4 linked regions of the Pelodiscus sinensis genome follow. The protein of the gene in region 1 purifies or fractionates together with the protein of each later gene. This does not show direct contact. Links are inferred from orthologs where the notes say so. Each region holds a gene or a part of one and is shown on either strand. Other genes may lie near its edges.

Region 1 (7,063 bases):
AACACCTCCTCCTCCTGCGCCCAGCTCCCTTGGTGGGGGGAGTGACACCCTCCTGCAGCGCTACGCGTCCTTGGGCGGGCGGGAGGAAGAGCAGCCCCGGCACCCTGGGCAAGGCAGCCCCCCTCCCCGCTGCCCCGTTCCGTACCTGTGCCGGCTCCCCCCGCGCCTGCGGACACCTCCCCGTCCATCTCGCCAGCGGTCATGTGAGTCCAGAACCCCAGGCCTCCCTCTTCTTCCTCGCCAGAGGGGCGGAGCGGGCGGTGGGGGGCTGGAGAGCCCGACTCCGCCTGCCCTGGGGGCGGGGCTGGGCCTGGGAGGCTGAGCTGGGGAGTCCCCAGGCAGGGATGGGACGCGGGAGGAGAGAGGACGCCGGGGGAGGGGGAAGGAAGGACATACAAGGGGGAGGCGATGGAGGAGACGCTGAGGGATAAATGGGAACACCAGGCCGGGAGAGCGCTAGAAAGGGGGACAAAGGGAGAGGGAGGAAGAGATGGGGGAGCATGAGGGAGGTGACTGGGGTCACTATAATGTTCCAATGTTTGCATTAATGTCCATTCTCTTTCCCTCCCCACAGCAGTACTTTAGTCTGTTCTCCACCCCCACCCCACCTTCTGTGCTCATCACCCTGTTACGGGGACACAGCATGCCACCTCCCCCAGCTCCCCGGGTGTCACATTGTGCATGGCACGTCACATATCACCATCCTTCTCCAGCATGGCACAGAGACAGTCTGACGGCCCTGCTATTGTGTGGTGTCACGGCTAGGAACTCTTGTGAGGCAGTGTTGATACCACAGCATTCTGATGCAGTGCCATCATGCTCTGTGATCATGCCACCACACAACCTTCTGTTCTGGCAGGAGTAAAGCACATCCAAATATTATCTCCCATCTAAACACCATCATATCACAACATCATTTCAGGACAATGGCCCTGATTTAGCAAAACACTTAAACACATACTTCAGTTTCATGCTTTAGGATAATGTTGGGACCCATCAGCTTTCTCATAGACAACCCTGTTACATTTAAAAATACTGGAACAGGTCATGTAATCAGTGTTCCCTGTAAGCTGTGCACGTACAGTCACTCGGGAGTGATTCAAATGCCACCCAGCTGATTAGCAGGGCACCCAAGGCTGGGTTTTGTGTTCCTTCTGGTGGTGCACATTTGCACATTTCTGATGAATAGGACACCTCTAGGCACTATTGTAATATAAATAACAATTATTGGAGTAAGAGGGAAAACTTTTGGGTCATTTGCACCATGGAAATGGCAGGGGCAAATGGACTCAGTGCTGCAAACATAATGGGTATTTACCTCATTGTTCTGTATGCAGAATGTTTACGGCAGCGATCTCAAACTCTCAGCCCACAAGCCATCACCTGTTGGAGCAATTGTGCAATGCAGTCTGGGACTCCTGGTGGGCCAGGGAGGCCCTATTTGCTACCAACCCCAAATCCTGCCCTGTCCCACCAACACCCTGGTCTCTGCCCCTCATGGCACCCCATCCCTGAGGATGCAGCTTTGGGATCACTGGGGAGGGCCTAGTGCTGTGCAGCAGCAGCAATCACAGACACCCATACTTCTCATGGCGGCAGGATCCCAAGGGAAGTGGAGCACACTGGGCAAGTGCAAATATTTTTCAAAGGGGGAAAATGTGATTGACTAAAAAAATGGCAGACAACAATAGTCACCAGAAATGACTTAATTCATATTAACAAAATTACTAGATTTCAAGTTGATGGTGACCTTCTAAATAAATAATTTCAAGTAGGGATGTAAATTCTCATTAAAAAGGTTAACCAATTACATGATATAATTTTAATAATTTAACTGGTTAACTGGGGTACAGCCAGATTGCTGAGGGTCCAGCATGGCCTTGTGTTGGCAGGGCAGCTGCTCCAGCCAGCAATGATCCTGCCACGCTGCAGGGCTGCTTCAATCAGCTGGGGTCATGCCACAGGTGGCCTTGTGTTGGCAGGGCAACTGCTCCAGCCGGCAATGATCCTGCCACACTGCAGGGCTGCTTCAATCAGCTGGGGTCATGCCACAGGTTGGGGGTTTCCATAGCCAGCTGGGGTCCCGCTGTGCTGTGGGCAGGGGACTGCTCTGGCTGGCCAAGATCCCACCTCACCTCAGGACTGCTCTGGACACCTGGGGTCCTACTCCGTCAAGCTGCAGGCAAGGAATTGCTTTGGATGGCTGGGTTCCTGTGACTGACAGCAAGGCTGCTGGCTGGGTCTGGGCTCCTGCTATGCTGAGAGTAGGGGACTGCTCCAGTCTAGTGGGGTCTTGCTGTCCAGGCCAAAGTGGGAGGGAGGCTGTGCCTTCCCTCCCCGTGCCCGGATCTCCAGTTAATCAGTTATCAGGCAAGCATGCTTGTAATGTTTACTGGCTATCTGAAATAGCAACCCGTCCTCTAAGGGAACACACCCATTATTTCTAAGTATTTTTCGAAATAATGGACATGCTATTTAGCCATCTCTATAAACCTCATTGCACGAGGAATAAGGAATGGATCGAAATAGCCTATTTTGAAATAAAATCAAAATAAAATACACAATTTGCGTAGCACAACTTGCATTTCTTATTTCGAGTTTAGGGTGCAGTGTAGATGCACCCCCAGTTTCAAGGTAGTCTTTATCTTTCATTACATAAGCAAAGGTTCCTTTCAGCCATCCCTTATCCAGTCATCAGATTTCAAAGCGGTAGCCATGTTAAGTCTATTTCAGCAAAAAACAAGGAGTCCACTGGCACTTGAAAAACTAATAAATTTAGTCTTTCAAGTGCCACCAGACTCCTTGTTTTTGCTGAAATGACAGAGAGCTCTGTATCCCATGTCTTTTGCTTCTGATGAGACAGTAACTCCCCACATCTCAATACTCAGGGCCATCCATGTAGGGATCCACTGGACTTGGGGCCCTTACATGAATGAATGGCTCATCATTAGAGCCCTGTGCAGATACAAAATTTATACCTGCATCTACAAAAATATCTGCACAGACATCTGTGGGTGTGGATACCCACAGATATAAAGTGACTAGCTGCAAACTTGTAGGGTTCTAGATACAAACTTTGTATGTGTATTCATAGCCATACCTGCAAAAATGAACAGTGGCTATGGATACAAATACAAAGTAGGTATCTGCCAGTTTGCAGGACTCTACTCATTATCTCATACCTTATGCCTTTAGGCTGTGGCCAGCTTGCAGGTGGTGCCCCAAACTTAATTGCTCTGTATCCCTGACCGTAAGAGCCTCTTTCAGGTGTGACACTGGGAGGAGCTGGCTTCCTGGAGGTGAGCAGCTCTGCACACATTTTCCTAGGGCCTTTGCTCCAGACAGAAAACAGGGCTTCATCATATCCCTGCCACACCAGAATAACACTGGGAAAACTCATGATACTATATACGTGTCTAGAGAGAGTGCGTGTCTCTAAGGTGCCACATTTAATTGGGACAGGTCCTGCATTGGGCCGGGGGCTGGACTCGATGATCTCCTGAGGTCTCTTCCAGCCCTGTGATTCCATGACACAGGACGGCTGCCACACGTGCCTATTCCCAGCGCCTGGAACCTCCATGCGAAGTGCTCTTCCGATCACGTGAAGGCTAGCGATGATGTGGCGGCTCTTCTTGGACCGTACCATCCTTAACATGACCCCATCTAATTGGGGGTTCAAATATTCTCTCCGGTTTTTGCTCTGCGTCGCCTCTGCAGCAATAGCGCCTCACGACCAATCGTGACCCTCCCTTCGATTGACGTTAGTAGCGTCCATGAGTTGGACAAGTCCATTACACCACATTTGTAGGGGTACTAGGGCTATATTGTCTCCTCATTTTACCGTTTTCTCACTTCGACTTCATTGTTTTAAACACACTCATGTATCCTATACACAGGGCGCATTTTATTTTTAATCTGTACAAAGAAGTGTATTTGGTATCCCTCCCTTTTCACCGTCCAAGATGGTTCAGACAGATCTCACGTAGGGCTGCAGACGAGGGCCGCCATGTTGGACTAAACCAACCTTGTGTATGAAATAGGGAGAATGGGGCTTGATGGGAGATAGAGATTGAAGTCGCCCTCAGGCTCTGTGGGAAGCAGGACAGAGAAGAGACCCGGGTGATTGTCGCGCGTGTGGCCAGAGGAAAGCAGCGGGTGAAAAGCCATCCCCCCCCCACGCACACGCGAGGAGTTGGTGTGTTCCGCTTCGCCATGCCCGCCGGGTCTCGCGCACATGGCCTAGGAGTAGGAGACTCCCCTCCCCCCTGCCTTTCCCCGGAGAGTCCGACTGAGCGCGGCCGGCCCAGCAGCGACCCCCTCCCCATGCAGGAGACGGAGGAGAGTCAGGCGGCCGCGGCCGGAGCCGAGGGGTCCGGGGACGAGCCCGAGCTGCCGGACGGGCCCCTCCAGCGGGAGGAAGAGGCCTCGCCGCCGCCCGGCTCTCAGGCGGAGCAGCCGGCGCCGCCATCGCCCACTTCCCCGGAGACGCCGCCATCGCCCGCTTCGCAGGGGGAGACGCCGCCATCGCCCGCTTCGGAGGAGGAGGAGGAGCCCCCCGCTGCCGAGGAGGCCGCCAGCCAGGAGGAGCCGCCCGGCCGCCAGACCCCCGAGGAGAAGGCGGAGGCCGAGGAGCGGGAGGGGGCCGAGTCGGCGGAGGAGCCCGAGGACGACATCTCCTTCAGCGACCCGGAGGATTTCGAGGACGACATCAGCGAGGAAGGTGCGGAGGCCGAGGCTGCGCCGCTGGGGCCTAGGCCTGGTCAGGCGGGGCGGGAAGGGGCGAGCGGCAGGGACCACAGGCCTGTGGAGCCCTCAGAGACCGGCGTGCTCGCCTGGCCTGAGGGGGCGTAAAGTCCGCAGACGGGGCCCTGGACGCTCCGTTCTCCCCGGCGCCGCGTGAGGGAGGCGGGCGCCCGTGCCCTGCCTGAAGTCGCGGCACTGATGGGAGTGGCGGCCTGATGGGAGTCTCTAGGCCCGGCTCGCCGAGCTGTGCTCCTGCTGAGAAGAGCATGGAGCCGCGTACCGTGGTCCCCTTGCTGACTAGTCGCGGAGGCGCGTGTCTTCCAGACTCCCCCAGTGCCAGGCGGTGCCATCCCGCTGGGCTGCAGCTGGTCCGGTGACACCGGAGGGAGGGGGGACAGCTGGAGCGGGTGCTCACCCAAGCCTCTCTGTGACCTGCTGCGTGGCGTGAGCTGGATGTATGTGATGTTTCTGTTACAGCAGCATGTTCAAAATCTCTTTCAGGATAGGGGCACTTTGTTATACTTACAAATGCACAGTGGGGATAGTGTGTCTGCCTTGAGAGGCTCACGGTGTTAGCTTCTGTGCATGTGTGAGCAGTAGAGATCCCTCTTCTGTATTAGCATTTGTAAAGTATACTTAAATTAAAACTTAAGAATCAACAAGAGACCTATAGCACCTTAAAGACTAACAGATGTGTTTGGGCAGAAGCTTTTGTGGGTTTAAAAACATGGGGGGAAAAACTTGTAGTCTTTAAGGTGCCACAGGACTCTTGATTGTTTTTGCAGATAGACTAACATGGCTATCCCTCTGATATTAAAACGCTACTCTTAAGTTATAATATAAAATCTATTAAACCAAATCTCTGAAGTACCTTTCATGTTAATGTACCTTAAAGTACAGAGTAAACTTAATTGCCTTTTATTTTTAAACCCACTAACATTGTTAGTATCTGCATATTTGCGGCCCAGGACAATGAAATAACTCACATGCTCGTTTCTTATCCTATACTTATTTTAGATCAGTGGTCACCAACCAGTAGATCAGGATCTACCAGTAGATCTTGGAGCCTCTGACAGGTGATCCTGACAGGTTTGGCTGGGAGGCTATCAAGTGCCTGTGTTCCAGTTGCCCCTCCCTGCACTATCCTGCTGCTCTTGCTCAGAACTGCCCCTCCGAGCCTCCTGCTTGTTCAGAGTGGGGGAGACAGAGGCAGAGGGGCATTGATGTCACTCTGACCCCATTCCCTGTACCCCATCTTCACAGAGTAAGGAGGGTGGTGCTTTGGTGAAGGGGTGGAGTAGGTATTTGGGTTTGAGGTAGATCTTGGACTGACTTAAATTCAAAAAGTGATCTTGTGCTTAAAAAGGTTGGAGACCACTGTTTTACATTATCTGGCAGAGGGATTTTTAAACTAGCCTGTCAAAAACCAGTGATTGGTGGATCTTTCAAGGGTCTACAGAGTGAAAAAAAATTTAAACAGTAGGGAGAGTAAAGAAGGTTAGCGGGTAGGTAGGTAGGATCAGTGTGAGTGGGTAGGATTGCTTTTATGAGGGTTATGATCTTCAGTTATTGTATTCTGAAGAGCTTTTTGTTTAATATTAGTGAATCCAAGCTACGAGGCTACATGAAGAATGTAATTAGCTGCCATCACGTGTAACTATCTAAAGATGACTGGCATTTGTTGTGTTGAGTTGAATTTTGATTTGTTTCTTGAATCACAACTATTTTACTATTTGGAGTGGTTCTCAAACTTGGAGTCAGGACCCCATTATTGGGGTCTCCAGAATTATTTTAGACTAGTTAGAATGTGAGGCTGAAGCCTAAGACTGAGCCCCACCATATAGGGCCAAACCCCAAGGGTGTCAGCTGTGGGTGGTGAGGTTCAACTTACAGCTCCAGGACCCCTGCCTAGGACTGAGGACCTTGAGTTTTGGCTTGTCCCACAGACTAGGCAGTGGGGCTTGTGCTTTGGCCCCATCCCTTCTGGGGGCAGTGGGGCTCGGGCAGGCTCAAGCTTTGGTACCTGCTCCTGGAGTCATGTAATGTTTGTTGTCAGAAAGGGATCACGGTGCAGTGAAGTTTGAGGTTCCCTGCTATTTAACCCAGTAAGATTGCACACAAGGGATGTAAGCGACTAGTCGACTATCCGATAAACAAAAGCTTATTGGATAGTCAGCTAGTGCCTTGTCTAGTCACTTCCCCCTTACTTGCTGCCCCTGTCAGAGTGTGGATCAGGAGCTGGTGGCTGGGGAGCTTAAAAGCCGGTTCCCCCCCCCAGCACCATCTCCTCAGAGGACTGGGGAGGCAGGGAAGTAGCGGA
Region 2 (7,423 bases), on another chromosome or scaffold:
GGGAATGGGGGGGAAGAGGGGAGGAAGCAAGGAGGTCCAACCACCACCTTACCTGGGTGAAAGGCTATGAACTCAAACCTCAAGAAACCACCTCGTGTTCTGCCTCCTCCAGCCGCCGCCTCAGCCACAGCATTGGGCAAAATCAGCCACAGAGACAACTGTTTTTAACAACAACAACAAAACTAGGGGTCCTGCATTTTGCTTCAGCTACCCCAGACTAACATGGCTACATTTCTATCACTAGGGATAGTTTTGAGACAGTAAAATTGACAGTTGTTTGACAAGATTGTTATTCAAGCTGTGATTTTAGAACTGATTGCAAAATCCACAGATCCACTTATGACCAAGCTTACCATGAGGAATCTCATCTGAATAAAGGTTTTTGTACACATCCATAGCAAAATCCACCATGTTGGTATCACTAAGAAGGTCCAATTTTCCTTGAAGTAATTCTTTTTCATTGTATATCTGAAAAAAATAAGTTAAATGATTTCTTGTGACACAGTGAACAGCTCTTTATAAGGACTTAAAAATAGCTCTGCCTATTTACGAATAAGGTGACGATAACAGAACCTTATATTTTACATTAAGTAAACTCTCCACAATTCTTTCCCACAAGCAGAAGACGCCATGGCAGTGGTCACCAACCAGTGGAACAAAATCTACTGGTAGATCCTGGAAACTCAGGAAGGTGATCCTCACTAGTTTGGCCAGGAGACTGTCAAGCGCTGTCACTTCAACTGCCCTTCCCTCACTGCCATGCTGCTCCTGCCCTCTGCCTTGGAGCTGTCCCGTGGAGTCTCTTTGCTGTGAAGGGCAGGCGAGCCAGATGATGTCAGGGTGTCCCCCTCCCACAACCTTGTACCCATCTCTACAGAGGGGGGAAAAACAACACAACAGGGCTTGGGATGAAGGAAGCTTGCTAGAAACAGTGCCTAAGGCTGAACATGTTCGGCATACATAAAGGAGCAATTTGAATCTCTGTCCCTGGGCCTCTCCTGTACTCAAACTTTCTCCCAGAGCCTGTACCTCAACCTCTGCCCCAGCTTGGTGAAAGTGAGTGAGGATGGGGGAGGAACAGACAGAGTGAGCAGGGCAGGGCCTCAGAGAGGGAATGGAGCCTTAGAGAAGAGGTAGGACAAGGATATTTGGATTTGAGGTAGATCCTGAATTGCACTTAAATTAAAAAATGATCTTGTGCTTAAAAAGATTGGAGACCACTGCTCTATAGGATATTTGTATGTCCTATGGTGGGAACATGGAGTCTTGTACATTGCACTGTAGTAAAATGTTAAATATTTTAACATCAACGAATATTCTGCTCTATGACCTTTAACATTATACCTGGCTTGATCATTTACATTCAGTAAGAACCACATGGCTGAAGCGTGATAAATCCAATGGAAATATTACACTAATTTTTAAGTAAAGTATGTATGGCTATAGACTAAATTAATGCAGACAGATGACCACAGAAAGCAGTGGGGGGGCTGAGGCAGGGCAGACAAGGTCTACCACTGCCGTGGTCTTACCCCCACCCCCAGGCAATGTCTACACTGGCAGCATCTTGTGCAAGAAAAGAAGCCTTGCGCAAGAAAAGAAGCCTTGCGCAAGAAAAGAAGCCTTGCGCAAGAAAACATCCACGCTGCCATGTGTGAGCTGTGCTGGACGCTCTCTTGCGCAAGAAAGCTCTGATGACCATTTTAGCCATAGGGCTTTCTTGTGCAAGAAATTCCTGCTGAGCGTCCACACTGCCCCCTTGCACAAGAGCTCCTCCGCAAAAGGGCTTACACCTGTTAAAAAAGAACGTAGCTCTTCCGCAAGAAGCCCTCTCTTACCACGCCATACTGTAAATTTCCTTGCGCAAGAGCAGGCGGGCAGTATGGACACACTGTGGATTCTTGCGCAAGAACGGCCATAGTTGCACAAGAAGCCGGGAGTGTAGACATAACCAGAGACAGTACTCTAGGTTAATTCATAGGAAGGTTAAGGCAGCAGTCACGGAGGCGCGGCGCCCCCAAAATGTGGGGTCTGACTCTGTTTTGATGATTCTTTGTCACAAACAGTCAAAATCTAACAAAGTGGGTCTTTGCCCACGAAAGCTTATGCTCCTACACTTCAGTTAGTCTATAAGGTGCCACAGGACTCCTCGCGGCTTTAGTCAAAAACTAAGTAAAACTGAATTCACTGGAACAGCCTGTCCAGCTTGTTGAATTCTCCCCCTCCCTCCCGAACACTGAATTCTAATAAAGTGTAATGGATTCTTTCTTTTTACAAAAACCATGTTTGCCTCTTCCCTAACAAATTATGTCCCTCTATGTGTAGATACATCAGTTTAAGCCTCAGAGCCACCAGGTTCTTCAAGAACACTAGAAGGTTTACAGGAGACAAACTATGGTGGTAAGAAAAGTCTCCCCTGCCTAGGGAGCGATGGAAGAGCGGAGACAAGCCGATACAAGGGCAGCTCCGCGAGGTTTGGCGGCAAGTCCCTTGTCTCACGGTGGGGGAAACTTCCCCCAATCCGCCACGTGTGGGGACGGGGCCCAAGCCGCGGGCAGCTGAGGAAGGATCCCCGCCCTGCCCCTGTGAGGAAAGGGGCCCCAAGTCTGCCGTGGGTGGGCGGGGAAAGATTCCTCCTCCCCGCATCCGGCCTGCGAGCAGCTGGGGCAGGCCCAGGCAGGGGCTTCACGAACACCCTGCGCACCGCCGGCTCGTGACGCTGCCTGTGCGACAGGCCCCGCGGGGAGGCCGAAGGCAGCCGGGCGGCTCCGGGCCTCGTTACCGCTCTCCCCGCTGGCTGGTTTCCGCCTCCCACGTGCCAGCTGCGAGCCCGCGAGGGGCGGGCCCGGTCTCCACGTACCTCCTTGACGGACAGGAACTCGAGCAGCGGGAAGACCAGGTGCCGGTCCAAGAAGTGCGCGATGCGGGTGGTCAGGTCGTACTCCGCCATCTTGGGAAAAGGAGGGGCGGGGCCGCAGCCGCCCCGCTTCCCCCCACGCGCACGGACGCGCACAGCGACGCGGCTACGACGCCGTCGCGAGAAGGACGGAGGGAAAAGGCGTGGTCTGGGGGGAAGAGAGCGCGCGTGCGTGGCGTGGCGTGACGTGACAGCGAGAGGGCGCGGGGCTGTGCGCGTGCGTGCGGAGATGGCCCGAGCCGCGCGTGCGAGTCTGGCTGAGGGCTGGCAGCCAGTCGGAGTTCTAAAGAAGCTTCGTGTCCTTTCCTACGTCGTGCGCGCGCTGCGCGTGGCTTGACTCAGCGTGGCCGGAGCCGCTCAGCGGTGTGGCCCTGTCCGGGGCTTCCCCACCTACAAGCTGCTCTGGCTGCATTGAAACCCCTCCCTTGGCCCCCTGAGTTGCATGGCACGTGCAGGCCCCTACGCAGGCATTGCCCGGGGAGGGGGGGGTCTTTTTTGGTAAATGTGGACCACTGTTTGTTTTAAATATAAAGTTCAAAATAGGCACCTAATGAGTTTAGATAAGAGAGGTTAATGAAAAACTTGAGTGGAAACTGATGGGTAAAGTGATTTTGTTATGCTAGACATTTATACTGCAATAAAGATTTTATAGAAATTACCTTCTGGGATCTTCCCATCATATTGTAAATGAAAAACCATATTGCAAAATATTGCAGTCTCCCTCTCTGGTTGCCCAGGAAGGCTGGGGAAGAGTCAGACTGTGGCTGGCTAGGCTGCCTGGCCTGACCTGTGGGAGGGACTGGTGGCTACCCAGTCTCCTGCCAGAGCAGCAGAGCCCTGCCCCTCTACGGGAGGGCTACGTCTAGCCTGGCATGATTTTCTGCAAGTGCTTTAAAAGGAAAAGTTTTCTGTTAAAAGCATTTGCGGAAAAGAGCGTCTAGTTTGTCACGGACGCTTTTCCACAAAAGCACTTTTTGAGGAAAAGTGTCCGTGCCAATCTAGACATGCTTTTTTGTGCAAACCAAATCGGAGCTGTCTACACTGGCCCTTTTGCGCAGAAGGACTTTTGCCCAAACGGAAGCAGCACAGTATTTCCGCAAGAAGCACTGATTTCTTACATGAGATCGTCAGTGTTCTTGCCGTAATTCAAGTGGCCAGCTGTCACATTACCTAATTTGAGGGAAGCAGCCAGATCGCTGCTGCACCCCTAGGTGGGGGTGGTGGCTCCAGAAAATGGTATAAAAGGGGGCCATGTGGGGTGCTGAATAGAAGCTTATTATCTGATAATCCTATGTAAGATATTTATGTGGTTGTATAATGTCTGTGTGTGTAGTTAGGAATCTGTAGTCTGTGTGGATACTGAATATTTCTCTGAATGTGGTTGAGCATTGGGCAGAGCCTGGCCTATGGACATGCTAATCATAAAGGCCCTGTGGGACAATGGCACTCGATGGGCCAAGGACACACCTAAAGCATGAGGGCGGACATCTAAGAGCTGCCAGCAGAGAGAGGCTGAGGACCAGGTGACCTGCTGCAGCCAAGAAGAGGCCAGGAAGGTGGTATAAAGAGGCCATGTGGTCGAAGCCAACTTGGTTCTCAGCTCAGCACTTCATCCCAGAGGCAGCATTGCAAGGATCGAAGAGCCCGGAAGACCTGTGAACCCATCCTGATACTAGGATGTGCAACAAGAACTTTTAAACCAGCAGCTGTAACATCTCTGCTAGAGCCTGCATCGAGGACTGGGAGATTCGGTGCATGTAACGTACTATTCTTTAACAACCTTACTCTCATGCTTTTCTTTCTTGTGATAATAAACCTTTAGATATAGATTCTAAAGGATTGGCTCAGCGTGATTTGTGGGTAAGATCCAGAGGGTAAATTGACCAGGGATCTGCGACTGGTTTCTTGGAACTGGACAGAACTTGTTCTGGGTAGGTGAGATTGGGTGCTAGGACCCCTCCCCCCATCTGTGTATGAGGCCTGGGGCCATCTGGGGCACGGATATTGCTGGGGTGTCAGAGGGGTTTTGCTCATGAGGCTTCAGGCAGGCTGCTGAAGCGCTCTGTGGGACTGGTTTGTGGCCTGTTTGGAGAGGTCACCAGTCTGGGGGCTGTAAGGAGCCCAGGATTTGAGCAATTCGCCCTGAGCGGACGCCCTCAGCTGTGCCCAGACATGGCCTGGTCTGTCACATCAGTGTAGGCAGCTGCTTTTGCGGAAAAACTTGCCAGTCTAGACACAGCTGCGGGGGGGGGGGGGGGGGGGAAGCTGGGGGAAGGAGCGGCAGGGGAGAAATCAGCCCCAGCCTACCTCTGGCGGGCAAGAGACAGGCTAAGGAGCCTTGGACAGTGTGCTGCTCCTGCCTTCCCCCAGCCATCTGGAGGAGGGAGGCTCAGGCAGCACACTGCTCCTGCCTTTTCCCAGCCAGCCAGAATCGGCCTCATGGGTGACCAAGGGGGGAGGTCTGTTTGCACCCTTCACACACCCCTGCCACTGCATATGGCCCTGACACGGGATGATCAGAGACATAAAATCACCACAAATACATAACAGAGAGGCTCTTCCAAGTATGATTATCATACCATGTCTTCAGTCTAGCAGTTTGCTCAGCATTTATTGTATTTTTCATCTCCTTAGTAAAGATACTTACTTTAGCTACACTGCCCTCTCTTGCGCAAAAAAATACGCAAAGGAGGTGAAGTGTGGAATATTGCTGTGCCTCATTTGTATAATTAATGAAGTTCCATTTTTGTGCAAGAGCCGTTCTTCCGGAAAAAAAGCATAATGGGTCTTGCGCTAGAGGGGTTTTTTGCACAAAAAGGAGCTGTGTAGATGGCTCCATTTGCACAAAAGCCTCTTGCGCAAAAACAGCCTAATTAATTATGCAAATGAGATGTGGTGATAGTCCACATTTCACCTCATTTGCATATTTTTTGCACAAGAGAGGGGCCGTGTAGATGTAGTAAGTGTGTTTTGGGGATTTAGCATAGAAAGGGTGTAAGGAGACTTTGTATGTTATGGCCCCACCACCTGTGGAGTTACATTTCCTTTCCAGGGGTAATCCCATGCGAAAAAACACCATCACTACCACCACTGAGATTGCTTTGTGTTGTTTGCCCCCATCACTCAGTATCTGATGCTTAGCTGTGGGGAGGAGTTTAACTGCCAGAGAAGTGGCTGTTGCTGTCCCTTCATTAGCTGGATCATTAGCATATGTACTGACAGCACACTTCTTGGAAGAACCCCCAACCCTGTCTTAAAGAGACAGAATAGTCCAATGGCACGTTACAACAAGGGTAAGCAGCTTTTCCAAAGTGGCATGCCAAGGTTTAACTCTCCTGCCCTGGGTCATGCCGCTCTCCCGGGAGGGGGGAAGATGCCCTCTCCACTGCACACCCCATGGACCACCTCGGTCAATGCACAACTTTCTGTGGACTACCAGTTGCTAATGGAAACTCACTGTTAATTGCATATGAAAGAAGATCCTATAAATATGGGGTGCCTTGCATGGGACTCCGGGTCTCATCTTGGAGCATCGGTCTGGACCGACAGAAGCCTGGCTCCTCACTTCTCCTCCCCTGGAGAAAGGGTTTTTTTTTTGCACAAAATGGAAGCGGCTACACAGATTCTTTTTGCTCAAAAAGAAACGGCAGAAAATATGCTAATGATGTCGCAACTTATGCTAATGAGTCTCTCATTAGCATATTTTCTGCTGCAAAAACGAGTACTGTAGACAAAGCCTAAGTGAGCCAGTTAAGCTTATGAGATGTGCAATGTGCTCAACAAAAGAAGCAAAATCTTTTAAAAAAACAAATTAAAAGGTTTTTTCCCTCCTCCCCCCGCAAAGGGCTGTTGAGGTAGCCCTGGAGTATTGGTATAAACCATACAAATTCTAGATATGGTGTACTGTCCCATGTAGTGGCACTTAGACCACTTACAGAGAGAAAGAATAAGTCTGCTCTGCAGCCATAGCTGAGCACCAACTGACTTTTAGCTCAAGCTGTAGAGGCTCATGCAGTAAGTTCTAGAAGTCCAAGGCTTGGTTCCACACTGGACTCTCTGGTGCAATGATCATAGCCTTAGTTTGATCACTACTTGTGACCAAAAGAATGTTGCCAGAATCTATCATCTTTAAGAGAAGATGTTAGTGGCTCTATCAAGTACCCCAAAATCTGGGCCACTATCAAGCTTCCATGTGGCACAGCAAATATCAAGGCAATCTGGGTAACTTTGTAAAATTTAGCACACTTAGAAGAGTTTCACTTTAAACGAAAACCTGGTCTGAATCCTAAAACGTTAGCTGATGATGCTGTTTTATCTTTCCTGTTTGGTTCACCAATGATTCAACATAAGCCTTTTCAAGGTAGTCAGCCATCACAGGATGGGCAACCTATTCAGATAATATTGCATATTATGTGTGGGTGTGCAGGAAGGGAAGCACTTATGTGAGATGAGAGGAAGGAATGAAGGAAGTTATTTTCATAATCAAATGATATCAAAGGTAATATA
Region 3 (7,733 bases), on another chromosome or scaffold:
TCCAGGGACTGGCCTATTATGACCACCAACAACACTGGACACTATAAAGAGCATAGGGCCAGATTTTCAGAAGTGCTCAGCAACCAACAGCTCCCAATGTGACATTTACAGTCAAGCTGCGTCTAGACTGGCATGATTTTGAGCAAAAGTGGCCAATTTTGCGCAAAATCTTGCCGCCTGTCTACACTGGCCACGACTATTTGTGCAAGAACACTGACTTTGTAATGTACAAAATCAGTGGTTATTGCGCAAATACTCCGACGCTCCTGCTCAGGTATAAGCCCTCTTGAGCAGCCTCAGAGTTTTAAGAGTTCTGCATCCCATACACCCTCATTGCACTGAGCTCTCTTCAGCATACAGAGTGCCTCTTGTAGGTGCAGAGTTCTTTTGACAACCTGCCTCTATAGAACTTGAAGAGGAAGTTCACCAAAGATGCTGATGAATTCCTTTACTCACCTATAGCCAGAATGCCTCCTTTCCTTTCATTCGCATCAGAACTAGAGACCAGTTCAAATATGTGGTGATTCAACTGATCGTAGAAACGAGTGGATTCCTCTTGGCTCATCTGCACAGGAAAGGAATTCAGACCGATTTATAATCCCTTTTCCACTACCTGTGCCCCAGATGAAGAAGGGCAACAACACTTTCCAGGCTCCCAAATTCAAAGGCAGCTCTTACTACATTTAAAATACAGAGCTGTACAGGTCCCACAGCCGGCCCGAGCCGGGACTGCTCAGTCCCAGCTTGCACCAGCTCTGGGATCTACCCCCAGAGACAGCGGGGCTGGGGTGTGGGGGTGGGTGTGGATAGCGAATAGTCAAGTAGTCACTTAAATAGTCACTTACATCCCTACTAGTGACACCTCTCATTCCCCAGCCAAATAATACAAACATATCTCCTCAGCTAAATGCTGCTGTTTCCACATCTACAGCACTTAACTAGTCACTTACATCCCTACTGGTGACACCTCTCATTCCCCAGCCACATAATACAAACATATCTCCCCAGCTAAATGCTGCTGCTTCCACATCTACAGCACTTACCTCACGGAGCTCCATGGTGACATAATGCTGCAAGTCCTTGGCGGCTTTTGCCCTGATTTCTTCATTGCGGCTCTTCAGGCCGCTGGCAAAGTGCTGAAGGATGGACACGGTGCCCGACATGGTGGTGATGAGTCAGGGCTTGGGGCATCAAGTCCGGTGGACCTTTTATACAGAAAACCTATTTTTTGCTTTTGCAGAAGCCAATTATAGCTCCCTCCACCACACTGCTCCAAATTACTGCTCCCAAATACACATGCCATGAGACACAGTGGGCTCTCAGATGCCACAGTAACTACAAAGATTCCATGAGATCCATGACAGAGGTACAGGCTCTCACATTTCACAGACCTTGGTAGGGCTCCAGAGTTCACTTAAGTCTCACCAAGATCTGTGGAATCTAAGAGTCTGTACCCTGGCCACTAAGTCCTTCACTAGGTTGCTAAGTCCTTCAGTGCATCCTACAGAAGCAGGTCGGAGCTTAACCTCCCTTACTCCCCCAGTCTCATCCCAAACCATTCATGCTCACATGTGACATGCTCAAATCAAATCCACGCCCAAATATACACACTGGGCTGTGCTTCCGAGGTGTTCCCAGTCATGCAAAGTTACAAGGAGGATAAGGACCGCTTGGCATGCATGTCAATATTATTGTTACTCTAATTTGCTCCTCTATGTTGCCTTTCATCCAAGAACAGAAAATTCTTTACAAACACAGTCAAACCCCAATGTATATTTATAGGCCGAGAATCTGTTCATGCCAGCAACCATCATTGTAATGCAGTGGTGGGCAACATGAAGTGAGGTACATGCTGTTTGCATACAACATTGACTGCAAGAGCCGAGTGTTCCTGTTGCATCCAATCAAAGCACTGCTACGGTTCAATTGGCTCACCCTGAAAGTTCTAGGCATGCAAGCAGAGTTAGCAAAACTACCTTAACCTGGGAGACCACCGTGGTTATGTTAATTCTGCAGCCCGCTAAGATGCAGGCTGGAGATTCATGCAGCCCGCTCGCTAAATAGATCGCCCATCACTGCTTTAATGGGATGTTTAATATTGTGCATGTCTGGAAACCATGGTGATAGGTGCATTTTTTTTTTTTGCAAAGGTTAAAAATACACTTTTTAAGAAAGGGGGAAACCGGTCACAGACTTTACTACTGGGCAAACAGCAAATGAGTAGCAGAACTAGGGTCAGACCCTTAAGGAGCCCTGGGTCCCTATTCCTCACTAGCTACTGGACAACCCTGCGTCGTTAAAATCCTCGGGTACAGCAGATGCCTCTGAGTCTAGTGTGGAATCTTTCCAGCTACCAGCATCCCCCCAGGCCAGGGCCGGCTCCCGTGCTCGGACCCAGGCTGGAGGAGCAGCCCAGAGAGGCGCCCTCTTCTCCGGAGAGAGAAATGCACGAGGGGTGGACGCAGCCTGCCTAGCGAGGGCCAACCAGGCCTAGGATCCGGGCCCAGAGCCAAGGGCAGCGGCCTTGCCCGCATGAGCGGGGGGCTCAGACCCGGCCGCTCCCCGAGGGGCGAGGGGGAAGCCGGCGCAGCTCCAAGGCCACGGTCCCAGCCCCGGCGGCAGCAGAGCGGGGAGGCCCCGGGGGGGGGGGGGGGCTACCAGCTCCGGGCATCTCCCGTGCTGCGGGGCGGGCCCCTGCCAGCAGCCCCCAGGGCAGCGCCCCGGCCCCGCTGACAGGGCTCCGGCTGCTGGACGCCTGCGCCAGCCGGCCGGGCGGTGGGGGAGGGGAGGCAGCCCCCGCAGTCCGGCGTTGGGGGGAGGGGGATGACTTCCCAGCTCCGGATCGGGGCCCCCCTCACTCACCGCCTCCACCCGGCCCAGCCGCGACCGGCTCCCCAGCTTGGGCCCCGGGTTTCCCCTCCCCCCCACTGCTGCCGCCGGCCCGGCGAAAAACCGCCAGCCAATCGGCGTTGAGGGGACTGTAACTAGCAGGTGGCCCAGCCAATAGTTTTGCGGGGCAGGAGGGTTTACTAGGCGGCTCGTGGTTCCACCCCTTCCAAAAAAAAAACCCGCTGGAGGCGGGTGGAGTTACTTCTGGCCAATCAAAGGGCAGAGAGTGATAGACTGACATTTAGATTCACCAATGGTCAGCGAGAGGCCGCGTAATTGGTTAGAATTCAGAGTTTGCCCCCGTCTTTGGAAAGCCGCCTTGCTTCCGCCCTTTCTGAAGCGATACAGGTTTGTGCGCAAGCGGAAAAGGCGCCGCATCGGCCCTTTTTCTAAGCGTGGAGACTGTAGGAGTCTTCCGCCGCGTGAACCCTTTTATCCCCCGCTGTCAGCGTCTCTACTGTTCTGGGTGCAGCCATGAAATGAGTCCCCCCCGAAGAGCGCTCTGTTCCCGTAATGACGCGTGTAGAAGCCAGCCGCGTTTGTGACACGTAGAATAGCGAATAGGTACAATGATAATCCGCACAGAGCGTTTAATAGCCATGATCTACTGCTAATGTTAATGGGGAAGTGTTCAAATAAACAGGCTTGTTATTGTTACCCATGAACAGATGTGGATGCTCCGTAATAGTTCATAATAATGGTTAATAACTTAATAAATGTGGCAGGTATTAACGTCCTACGCTTTTCCTCTATCACTTATTACCAGTTTATTTGAGTATTTCCCGCATATTACTCTCTCTGGATTGTTATCCCGGGTTTTGCAGATTGGGAAAATTGAGGCTTGGAGAGGTTAAGGCTCTGATCTTGCAAACAATGGCCCAGGTAGACTGTTCCGCCTGCATGGGCCTGTGTGTGCATGCAGCATCACAAGCACCAGTGTGCAGCGCTGGGCATAGGGAAGTCTCTATAGTCTCTAGCTAAAGAATGGAAATGGGGTTGCAAGGGTCAACCCTCAGCTCTGCTAGGGACTGGCTGAGTGACGCCAAGGAAGGGGTTTCACCTAACTATGCCACCTCGCCCCTGCGAGAAGGCACCCCCCCCATTGAGTTACTAACAGTGTGGGTGGGGCTCTTCCCCCATCCTTCCCCCTCCTCAGGCCCTGAGTTGCCCTCAGAGCAAGCGGAACCTCGGTAAGCGGTGCCCTTGTTTCTGGAGGGGCCGGCCTGGCTGGTGCACACGTAGCACCTCCGGGTGGTTGCCGTGGTCCCGAGTGCCCGGCCTGCTCGTGAGCGGAGAGGCCTGTCGGGGACCTGGCTCTGCAACAGGCGAGGGGGCCCTGGAGCCACCCTAAGCCCCGTAAGTCGGGGAAGCAAGCTCAGCCCCGCCCCGGGTTCGGAGCTGCCTCCCCGGCGCCTCACCCGGGCTGCGCCCCTGCCCCTGGGGCCTTTTCTTCCTCCCGCAGGGGACACGGAGGTCGGGGAAATGGGCTGCGGGGGCCGAGGCGCCGCACGTGGAGGTGAAAGCCACGGGAGGACCCGGCTTCTCCCTTGTGGTGCCCAGCATGGGATGGGCCCTGCCACTCGCTCTCTGTGCTGCTGTGGGCAGAGGTTCACATTGCGGGCGGACTCCCCCACGGCCTGGCAGCTCCCCCCCGGGTTGTGTGCCACCGTTGAGCCACCGGAGAAGCCGGTTTCCTTTTTAGGCTACAGTTACTAATGCAAACTCTCCTGGCTTTCCCAGGTCTCTGTCCAGCACCTTCTCTTGAAGCAGCTGCGTGAAGAGCATGGAGTCTGAGGATCAGACAGAGAAGATTAGCATCAGTGCTGAGAGCCCTAGAAGTGTTGACCTGGGGGAGCTGGGTGTAGGGCTGCTAAGCTCTGAGAAGAGCCATCCAGGCACCTGGAGGCAGAAATGTGCAGCCTATGTCCTGGCCCTGCGGCCCTGGAGCTTCAGTGCCTCTCTGACTCCTGTAGCTCTGGGCAGTGCCCTAGCCTATCGGTCCCAAGGATCCCTAGACCCAGGGCTGCTAGTGGGCAGTGCAGTGGCTGTCCTGGCTGTGCATGGAGCAGGCAACTTGGTTAATACCTACTATGACTTCTCAAAGGGTATTGACCACAAGAAGAGTGATGACCGGACATTGGTGGACCAGATCTTGGAGCCTCAGGATGTGGTTCGATTTGGGGTCTTCCTCTATACTCTGGGCTGTGTCTGTGCTGCCTGCCTCTACTGTCTCTCTACTCTCAAGCTGGAGCACCTGGCCCTGATTTACTTTGGTGGACTTTCCAGCTCTTTCCTTTATACTGGAGGTAAGGGTTGTACTCCATACTCTTAAGTCTCTGCAGAAATTGTGTGTGAAATGTATATCTGGTGTATGTCAGCTGGTTTGATTAATTATTTATGCTCTCTTCTCCATGGAGGGAGCCCAATGTGTACTATCAGTAGGGTTTGTTATTTGTTATTGGCCAGATCTAATTTCAAATGAAAAGTAAACTTAAGATATTTTTAAGGGACATTTCAAGATAAAAAAAGTTGATTTTGCCTCATCAGTTAAGCTATCTGGTAGATGAAGAGACATACCCTGTGTTTTGCTATAAGTAAGATTAGTTTCTAGGATTCACAAACTATCATTTGGAAGATGTAGCAGCTGTTACTCTACTCTCATTGTTGCATCAGCTCATGGACAGATTCTATCTGTATTCACATTGGGTAGCACTGTACTTCATGTGTAATCCCTTTGACTTCAGTAGGACTGCTTGTGGAATAAGGTATTCCAGATGGATAACTGGAATCTGCCCCTTAATCTTTGCTCACTGGTTGAGACTGGAAATTGCAAAAATTGTATTTGCTTTATTATCTTTGGAAAGGGTAAAGGATAATCAATTCTGGGGCAATAAAAGAACGTGTGTAGCCCTGCCCTAGCTGTGTATTGGCTTTTACAGCAATTTTTAGGAGCTGATCTGTTTAAGAAACATCTGTTGTTCTCTGTAAAGTAAATTTTACTTGGTAACACTTGACACTTGTTTTCATCTTGTTTATTGCCACAGGAATTGGATTTAAATATGTTGCACTTGGCGACTTGGTGATCCTCATCACGTTTGGACCCCTGGCTGTTATGTTTGCCCATGCCGTGCAGGTTGGCTATCTGTCTGTCTCACCGCTGCTCTATGCTATCCCACTAGCCCTCAGCACGGAGGCCATCCTGCACAGCAACAACACTCGGGACATGGAATCTGACCAGCAAGCAGGCATTGTCACCCTGGCTATCCTCATTGGCCCCATGTTCTCCTACATGCTCTACAACACACTACTCTTCCTGCCCTACCTGATTTTTTGCGTCTTGGCCACACGCTATACCATCAGCATGGCACTACCACTACTTACCATTCCTATGGCCTTTTCGCTGGAGAGGCAGTTCCGGAGCCAGAGTTTCAGCAAACTTCCCCAGCGGACAGCCAAGCTCAATCTCCTGCTGGGGCTCTTCTATGTTTTTGGTATTCTGCTGGCACCACCAGGCACACTGCCCAAACTGTAACAGCTAGCGCTGCCTCGTGGCTTCAGTGTTAATGGCAGATCTCGGTTGGAAGTCGGAGGTTTGTTGTGGATGGTGGCCAGAGCAAGAAGGCTAGCTCAAGGCAGTGACCCCATGTGAATATTGTGGGCTTTGGTCTTGTTGAGATAAACGGTTTCTCTCGTACTAGAGACTTCTAATGGTGTCTTGGAGAAGAGTTGAATTGACAACATGGGTCTTGTTTTCTCTTGGTGCTTATTGCAGTTCACCCTGAGAGCAGACAGATGTTTCAAGGACTTGCTGCTGCTGTCATTGAATTCAAAGGAACTTAACTTCAATGAGAGCAGGGCTGAGCTTCAAGTTTGAACTCTTCCTTCCCCTCCCAGGCACATTGAACCTTGATCTGTGAGTCATCCCCTCCCAACATGAAGCAAAGATTCAGTAGCTCCACTTCTACACTGTGCCACATGCAAATTGCCACTCAAAGCTTTAACTTGGTCAGCATTGCAATAAAGCAGATGCTGTTACTTCACTCCCTTCATTATAAATCTTCATCTCCACCACCCGGACTGTTTTCTCCCCCCCCCCCAATTTCTGCTTAATCTTGATCTTGTATTTCCTAGTCTCATAGCAATGTGAAATAGGGCATGTGTATCCATCCAGAACTGCTGATTTATGGAAGACAGCAGTTTCTCATGCTCCCACTGCCAGATCTGCCAGTGCCTTTCTACCTAGGCATTTCTAAAGTATCCATTGCTGTGGTATATAGGTGCTGAAATGGAATATAACTGCTCCATTGCACTGAGCTTAAAGCCAAAAGTGAACTTCCACTCCCTCTTTAAGTAGCTAGGGGTCAGAAGTGCAAGTTATGCAGCTAAGAAGCTTATAAACACTTGGTGAGATGAAAAGTTCTCTTCTTGATGTTATGTTAGTCTCGTGCTCAGACCCTTCTGCCTAAGATGAAAAAGTCTTGGTGTTTAACCCCCCCCCCAAAACTGTCAGGCAGGGTAACAAAGCTCTGTAGACAGTTGGATATTGACTAACAGACACATGTTGTAGTTGCAAGTCTCTAGTAGCAAAGTGTTTTTTGTCATTCTCCATATCTGTCATCTACTTAAAGTTGCTTGTCATCCTATTGTAAGGCAAGCTGGAGGCAGCAAGGGAGAATGATGGGGGCATTGCAGGAAGGAGTCTAAATTTCTGCAGTGACTTTGTACAGAAATCAGGAGAGTACATTATTCTTGCTGATAGATTCTTCTTCTCTTTTCCAGTGTGGGGGGGAGCAATGTTTTGATGATGCTCCTGTGATTCACTGGTCAGTTTTGAAGTTCTAGAT
Region 4 (7,076 bases), on another chromosome or scaffold:
CTGGCACTGGGGGACCCAGTGGGAGCATACAGCAAGGCAGCACAGCCAGGTTCACTAAGCCTTCACATAGCCCCAGATCTCTGGACACAGCCCCCTGCCCATCTCCCACGCCTGGGGACCTGCCTTGCCCCCGCTGGCCAGCCCACAGTCAAGCCAGAGTGCCCCATTGTGCCCCCTGCCCTCCCCAGCCGCACCTCCTGGGAGCTTCTCCTTCTCGCCCGTAGACAGGCCCAGCTGCTCGGCCAGCTCCTTCTGCATGGGGCCCAGCGTGTCCTTGTAGGGGCAGCGCGTCGTCCAGTGGTCGCCCTTGCAGATCCGGCACGACACGATCTTCTGCCCCTTCAGCTTGTTCATGGGGTCCTCCTCCTCCTGGCAGTTCAGGTCCTACAGCAGAGGGGGAGCCCCGTCAGCCCCACGGCGCCCTCCTCGCCAGGGGCAGGGCCCCGGACTCCACCCCGGCGAGCCTGGACTCCCCCCGCCTCTTAGAGCAGCCCAGCTCCAACGCACGGGGGCAGGAGGGCCCATGGGTTGCTGTCAGAGCCCTGGGCCCCCCCGCCACTCCCCGCTCTGCCCTCACCTCCTTGCTGGTGATGAAGGTCATGAAGACGTCATCGCTCACGGTGGTCGTGGCCACGTTGGGGCCCGGAGCGTCGAACTCGGAGTTGCCGAATTTCTTCCAGTTCTGGGCAAGAGCCAATGAGCTGGTGGGGGAGGGGCTGAGGAGACCGTCCCCCCGTTCCCCACACGCACTCCCTGGGCCTTGCCGTCTCAGGCCCTGACACCAAGCGTCCTGCAGGCACGGGAGCCCCGGCTGACACCGGGACCCAGCTCTGCTGCCCAGCAGGTCAAGGGGCTCCCAGGGGAGCAGTGGGGTGGGACTAGGCTGGGGCACTTCCCAGCGCCCTGCACACACCTGTGATCCCACCCCCCGGCCAGCGGCCAGGGCCGAGCTCACTCACCTTCCGACGCGCCACAGCCTTAGAGGCCTTCCTGGTCTCAATGCGGAAGGTGCGGATGATCTGGGACATAAGCACAGAAGAGCAGCCCGGCGGGGTCAGACCAACGGCCCACCCAGCCCAGGGTCCGGGCTGCCGACAGCGGCCACTGCCAGACGCCCCAGCGGGACCGGACAGAGCCCTCCAGTGAGCCGCCCCCCTTGCCCATTCCCAGCCTCTGACAGAGGCCAGAGACTCCATTTCTAGCCACCCTGGCCCTTGGCTCTGGACTCAGCAGCCCCCTGGCTCTGCGAGCTCCTTTCGAGGCCTTTCCCGGCTGCTTTGGACTGACCACAGTACCAGTCGCTGAGAGCCCTGGGGTCAGGTGGGGTCACAGCTTGCCGGGGGGGGCCTGCCACCCCATGCTCCAGCTGCCATGCCTGCCTGCCGGGCCATGGGGCAGGAGGGCCACAGGGCGCGTGGGGGCTTCGGAGGGGGGTGAGTCCTAGCAGGGCCAGTCCTTGCGATTAGGAGAAAGTGGCCGAGAAGCGAAAGCAAATGAAGCCCCAGACTGGGGAGCCCCACTGCTCAGGGGCTGGGAAGGGCTTTGCAGACGCAGGATTCCAGCCGGGAGCCCAGGGAACTCTAGGGCCTGCTCTCCAGCGCCCCCCCCACTCACCTTCACTTTGCGCCCATCCTCCTCCTCCCGGTACTCTGTGATGGTTTTGATGTTCCCGTTGATTAGCTCCTTTGGGGACGGGAGAGGACCTACAGAGGGAAGGGGAAGCCGGTAAGAACTGTGAGACCAGGTGCTCCTGGCAGGGGGTCCTGCACCCCGGCGGCTCTTACCTCCCTTCAGCAGCTCAGCATCTGCGCTCAGGTCCACGCTCTGGGGGGTCACGGTCGGGGTCACGCTCAGCCCCCCACTCAGGGGCAGGTCCTTCAGCAGCTCGCTAGTGACGCATTTGTCTGGGAAGAGAAGCGAGGTCGCGGCACTGATCTAAGGATGGGAGGGGAAGGACGCCCCCTCCGCCCCGGGGCTGGGAGAGGCTGCAACCAGCCTGCCCCCCCCGGCACAGAGCAACCAGCCTGCCCCCCCCTCCTCAGACCATCCCCCCCCCGGCACAGAGCAACCAGCCTGCCCCCCCCCAGACCATCCCCCCCCCCGGCACAGAGCAACCAGCCTGCCCCCCCCCTCAGACCATCCCCCCCCCCCGGCACAGAGCAACCAGCCTGCCCCCCCCTCCTCAGACCATCCCCCCCCCGGCACAGAGCAACCAGCCTGCCCCCCCCTCCTCAGACCCCCCCCCCCCAGGAGGAAGCCCCAGGGCAGGGGACCCCCAGGCTCTGGCCCTGCAGCAGCTCAGCGCAGTCACCCGCGTCCCGGCAAGTGGGGGGGCCCGGCCCCCGGGAGCTGCAGGCTCGAACCCGGCCCCCAGCCGGGAGGGGCGGGGGGGTCCGGGGGGGTCCCGGCGCGCGGGGGCTTCTCACCATCGTCGCCTTCCTCCTCCACCTGGTCCGCCCAGCTGGGCTTCGAGCTGCGGGACAGAGACAGTCACAGAGCGGCCCCCCCGAGAGACCCCCGGCCCCGCCCCCTCCGGCCCCGAGAGCCCCCCGAGAGCCCCCCGGCCCCGCCCCCCGAGAGCCCCCTCGGCTCCCCCCGGCCCCGCCCCCGAGAGACCCCCGGCCCCGCCCCGGCCCCGCCCCCCGAGAGCCCCCCGGCCCCCCCCGCCCCCGCGCCCCCCGAGAGACCCCCGGCCCCGCCCCGGCCCCGCCCCCCGAGAGCCCCCCCGGCCCCGCCCCGGCCCCGCCCCCCGAGAGCCCCCCGGCTCCCCCCGCCCCCCGAGAGCCCCCCCGGCCCCCGAGATCCCCCCCCGGCCCCGCCCCCCGAGAGCCCCCCGGCCCCCTCGGCTCCGCCCCTCACTCGTAGTCCCCCGTGGGCATGGCGGCGACGGCAGGACTCAGCCTCGCTCCCTCTCTCGCGCGGGCCGGAAGCGGAAGCGCGCGGGGCAGCGAGTCGCGGCTAGAGCGGCCCCGTGGGCATGGCGGCGCGGGGCCTGCTGGGAGAGGGCGTGGCGCTGCAGTGCATGCCGGGAGCCGCACCTGGCCGGGAGCGGGGAGGGGCGGAGCTGGCGCGGTACATGCCGGGAGACGCACCTGCTGCGGGGCTGTAGCGGCGGCGCCCCCTGCTGGGCGGGGTCCGGGCTCCCGCAGGGCGCAGCGCTGGGACCCCCGGCCATAGCGCACATGGGGGGGGCGCTGGGACCCCCCGGCCATAGCGCACATGGGGGGACGCTGGGACCCCCCGGCCATAGCGCACATGGGGGGCGCTGGGACCCCCCGGCCATAGCGCACATGGGGGGACGCTGGGACCCCCCGGCCATAGCGCACATGGGGGGACGCTGGGACCCCCGGCCATAGCGCACGTGGGGGGACGCTGGGACCCCCCGGCCATAGCGCACATGGGGGGCGCTGGGACCCCCGGCCATAGCGCACGTGGGGGGACGCTGGGACCCCCCGGCCATAGCGCACATGGGGGGCGCTGGGACCCCCGGCCATAGCGCGGGGGGGGGCGCTGGGACCCCCGGCCATAGCGCACATGGGGGGACGCTGGGACCCCCGGCCATAGCGCACATGGGGGGGCGCTGGGACCCCCGGCCATAGCGCACGTGGGGGGACGCTGGGACCCCCCGGCCATAGCGCACATGGGGGGGCGCTGGGACCCCCCGGCCATAGCGCACATGGGGGGGGCGCTGGGACCCCCCGGCCATAGCGCACATGGGGGGTGCTGGGACCCCCCGGCCATAGCGCACATGGGGGGTGCTGGGACCCCCCGGCCATAGCGCACGTGGGGGGACGCTGGGACCCCCCGGCCATAGCGCACATGGGGGGTGCTGGGACCCCCCGGCCATAGCGCACATGGGGGGCGCTGGGACCCCCGGCCATAGCACACATGCGGGGCGCTGGGACCCCCGGCCATAGCGCACATGGGGAGACGCTGCGGCTCCAAGGCACAGCCTACTAGGCAGCACTGCTCCAGCAAGCCTGCCCCAAGGTTGGAAACGTCAAAGGGAACAGCTGGGAACCGCGGGGCAGGGGCCAGGCCTCTCCCAGGGATCTGCCCTGCTGCTGAGCAGAGTCCGGCCTGCGTGTTCTCCCCTCGCTGGGGCAGGGGCAGCACGGCCCCAGGGCACGGCCCTGGGTTGTGAGCCCACCTCATAGACCGTTGCCGCCCCCGCCCCCCATTTCCCACCCCTCGTAGACCCGTGGGGCAGAGTGAGGCGCCAGTAGGAAAGGGAGGCGTGCAGGCTCCAGTTACGCCATTATTAAGTGCTCAGATGGTCCTAAGTTGGACGGGGCTGCGAGTGGGTCAATTCAAACTGATCCGGACAGACTGGAGAAATTGTCTAAGCTACATCGGGTGAAGTTTAAGAAGGAGAAACGCCAAGTGCTCCACTTAGGGAGGAACAATCCGTGTCTCTCACACAATGGGAAGTGACTGTCTAGGAGAGTTCGGCAGAAAGGGAGCCAGGGGTCAGAGTGGACCACAAGCTAAATGAGTCAGCAGCCTGACACTGTTGTAAAAAAAGCCAACGTGACTGTGCACTACATGAAGAATGATGAACGGTCTGGGGAACATGACGGATGAAGGGAGGCTGAAGGAATTGGCTTCGTTTAGTTTGGAAAGGAGATTTGAGAGGGGACATGAGAGCGGTTCTCAGGTATCTAAAAGGGTGTCATGAGGACAGAGAAAACTTGTTCTCCTTGGCCTCTGAGGACAGGACAAGAAGCACTGGGCTTAAACGGCAGCAAGGGAGGTTCAGGCTGGACATTAGGAAAGTTCCCAACTGTCAGAGGGGGTCAAACACTGGAATAAGTTGCCGGGGGAGGGGGGGGGGGGAGTTGTGGAATCTCCATCGCTCGTGATACTTAAGAGCAGGTTGGACAGACCTCTATCAGGGATGGTCTAGACCAGGGCTACTCAACACGTGGGCCACGTGGCTGTGACGTAGTGGGGGTACCTGGCTGGTTTCTATGCTGCTGGCTCTGGGGTAACCCCACTGGCTGCAGTTGGTACCACGGCCCAGCAAACCAGGATGAGTCATTATGCAAAGAGGGTCTCTCAACCTGTCTGACCAGCCACCCCCCATGGAGAGGAACAAAGGAAGGTGGATGCTGCCCTGGCTGGGGGGCAGGGCTGGAGGAGAGGTGGTTAGTTCCTGGCTGGAAAGCAGGGGAGAAGGAGCTGGGGAGGGGGCTGGGACTCCCCTATCTCAAGGGGGGCACTGAGGCCTCCTAGCCCCAGTTCCTGTAACCAGATGACATCTGTGCTGGGCTGTATCGTGGAGAAGCAATAAACTCCCCGCAACCCTGTGGAAGGCCTGGCCAGCCCAGGCACAAGCAGCAGAACGCAGAGTCCATGGAAAGACGGAGGCTTCTGAGAAACTGGAGACCCCGGCACCCTCCGGAGACATCTCGCTGTTCACAGGCGTGCTGCATTCGGGCCCCTCCGGGAGCAGCATGGAGCCCAGCGCCGCAGCGGTACAGCCATGGCCTCGTGCCGGCTGGGGGGGCGAGCAGGATCAGGGGGAGCCTGCAGCGCAGCAGCTTCCAGTCGGCGCCTCACACACGGCGCAGCAACAGCCGCCAGGAAGGGGAAGCAGAAGCGTCCCCGAGGGGATAATTTACAGGCGAGATTTATTTGAAGAAATATTACAACATATAAAAACTACAGAGTATTAATTGCCACTCGCAGGAAGTGGCTGATTATTTTCAATGCATAATAAAAACATCGTCCTTAAAATCCAGAATGCGGTGGGGCACTGCACAGCCGATCACGAATGATTAGTAGTGACACTTGGACCATCACACACAGCTCCCGCGGCGCCAGGGAGACGAACACGGAGACAGACCTCGTCACGGCAGCAAGCCCAACGAGAACAGAACACACGAAAATCAGTGCATGGTTGAGTCCGAGGCCGGGGACTCGGGCTAGTCCGCCACTTCCATCTTGGCTGCTTTGCTGGGCTCTGCCAAGGGCCAAGAGGGTCAACGTCACCCCAGGTCCCACTTCAGCCTGGCCCCCCAGCAAGGCTGAGAGTTGGGAGCCACTAGCCAGTCTGGGCAGCAGGCGGCGCCGTAACACGAACACCCACAAGCCGCCCGCTTTGAGACCCTGGCGGGGCGGCCTCCGGGTGCCACTCAGCCAGCTGCTCAGGGACCTTTCTAAAGCTGCGGCCCTGCCGATCCTCCCCCAAGCCGGGCCGGGCGGGGGCGTCGAGCGTGGGCAGCAGGCGGCCAAGGGGGAGAACAGACGCCAGCCCACTAGCCGAGGACAGACCGCCGAGCCCGCAGGAGGGCAGCCCCACGGTTCCGTTTTCACGTTCCCTCAGCACAGGCACAGAGGCCCGGAGTCCGCCCGCCCCCGAGGTACCTGTGGCCTCCTCTTTCATTTTCGCCGACACGCACGCCTTGATCTCCAGCCCGATGGATTTGGCCAGCGGCGGAGGCACCGCGTTCCCGACCTGCCGAGAGAGGGGGGAGCTCACACGGGCCCAGATCCGGCCACGAGCTCCCAGTGCGATCACACCCGTGACCCTCTGAGCCAGCCCCTCTCCCCCCCGGGACCCTGCTTCCCAGCCGCCTCTCTGCCCCCTGCTGCTGAGGCGGGGCGCTGGCCCTCCACCACTCACCTGCTTAGCCCCCCGCCCAGGAGCCCTCCCCCGCCGTGAACCTAGGGGTGGCGCTGGGCTCGGCTCCTGCGCGCAGACGCCCCGCCCGGCGACACCCACCTGCCTGTGTTTGTCCAGCACGTTCCCGAAGAGCCTGTAGGTGTCAGGGAAGCCCTGCGACCGCGCGCACTCCCGCACGCTCACCACCCGGTGCTGCTCCGGGTGAAGCACCCGGCCCTGGTAAAGAGAGGCAGCTGTGGCCAAGGGCCCGCACAGGAGGCTCTCGCCCACAAGGCCACGCTGTGTGGCCGCCTCCCCGCCCCCCAGCCCCTGCCAGGTCGCGCTCACCCACCTGCTTGCCCATGGGCTCCGGGTTGGTGACGGTGGTGCTGAAGAAGCCGTCCCACTCCAGCCGGCCGTACAGCCCCGCCCAGTGGTTGTGCCGGTTGCCGGTGTGGGGCAGGCACCA

The links.
Region 2: the proteins of EIF3B (region 1) and EIF3E purify together in Homo sapiens (affinity purification with mass spectrometry; 9 studies listed by BioGRID and IntAct, counting the BioPlex papers as one, with this or other methods). This does not show direct contact. The link is inferred for Pelodiscus sinensis from reciprocal best matches to the Homo sapiens genes EIF3B and EIF3E.
Region 3: the proteins of EIF3B (region 1) and MTOR purify together in Homo sapiens (affinity purification with western blotting; 3 studies listed by BioGRID and IntAct, with this or other methods). This does not show direct contact. The link is inferred for Pelodiscus sinensis from reciprocal best matches to the Homo sapiens genes EIF3B and MTOR.
Region 4: the proteins of EIF3B (region 1) and EIF3G purify together in Homo sapiens (affinity purification with mass spectrometry; 12 studies listed by BioGRID and IntAct, counting the BioPlex papers as one, with this or other methods). This does not show direct contact. The link is inferred for Pelodiscus sinensis from reciprocal best matches to the Homo sapiens genes EIF3B and EIF3G.

The regions. Positions count from the first base shown.
Region 1 is NC_134726.1:28,589,087-28,596,149, forward strand, and holds the start of EIF3B (eukaryotic translation initiation factor 3 subunit B), read left to right. Parts: upstream 1-4,056; 5' UTR 4,057-4,212; coding exon 4,213-4,720; intron 4,721-5,023; exon of another isoform or gene 5,024-5,157; intron 5,158-7,063.
Region 2 is NC_134712.1:30,022,401-30,029,823, reverse strand, and holds the start of EIF3E (eukaryotic translation initiation factor 3 subunit E), read right to left. Parts: upstream 3,020-7,423; 5' UTR 2,951-3,019; coding exon 2,861-2,950; intron 469-2,860; coding exon 354-468; intron 1-353. UniProt on the Homo sapiens protein: Component of the eukaryotic translation initiation factor 3 (eIF-3) complex, which is required for several steps in the initiation of protein synthesis.
Region 3 is NC_134733.1:11,465,905-11,473,637, reverse strand, and holds the start of MTOR (serine/threonine-protein kinase mTOR), read right to left. Parts: upstream 3,015-7,733; 5' UTR 2,863-3,014; intron 1,206-2,862; 5' UTR 1,164-1,205; coding exon 1,044-1,163; intron 566-1,043; coding exon 457-565; intron 1-456. Other genes in the region: UBIAD1 (ubiA prenyltransferase domain-containing protein 1), read left to right, coding at 4,673-5,195, 5,934-6,421. UniProt on the Homo sapiens protein: Serine/threonine protein kinase which is a central regulator of cellular metabolism, growth and survival in response to hormones, growth factors, nutrients, energy and stress signals.
Region 4 is NC_134729.1:14,996,244-15,003,319, forward strand, and holds the start of EIF3G (eukaryotic translation initiation factor 3 subunit G), read right to left. Parts: upstream 3,019-7,076; 5' UTR 2,880-3,018; coding exon 2,860-2,879; intron 2,474-2,859; coding exon 2,427-2,473; intron 1,905-2,426; coding exon 1,785-1,904; intron 1,704-1,784; coding exon 1,615-1,703; intron 1,020-1,614; coding exon 960-1,019; intron 683-959; coding exon 578-682; intron 385-577; coding exon 195-384; intron 1-194. Other genes in the region: DNMT1 (DNA (cytosine-5)-methyltransferase 1), read right to left, coding at 5,928-5,965, 6,370-6,460, 6,728-6,844, 6,960-7,076. UniProt on the Homo sapiens protein: RNA-binding component of the eukaryotic translation initiation factor 3 (eIF-3) complex, which is required for several steps in the initiation of protein synthesis.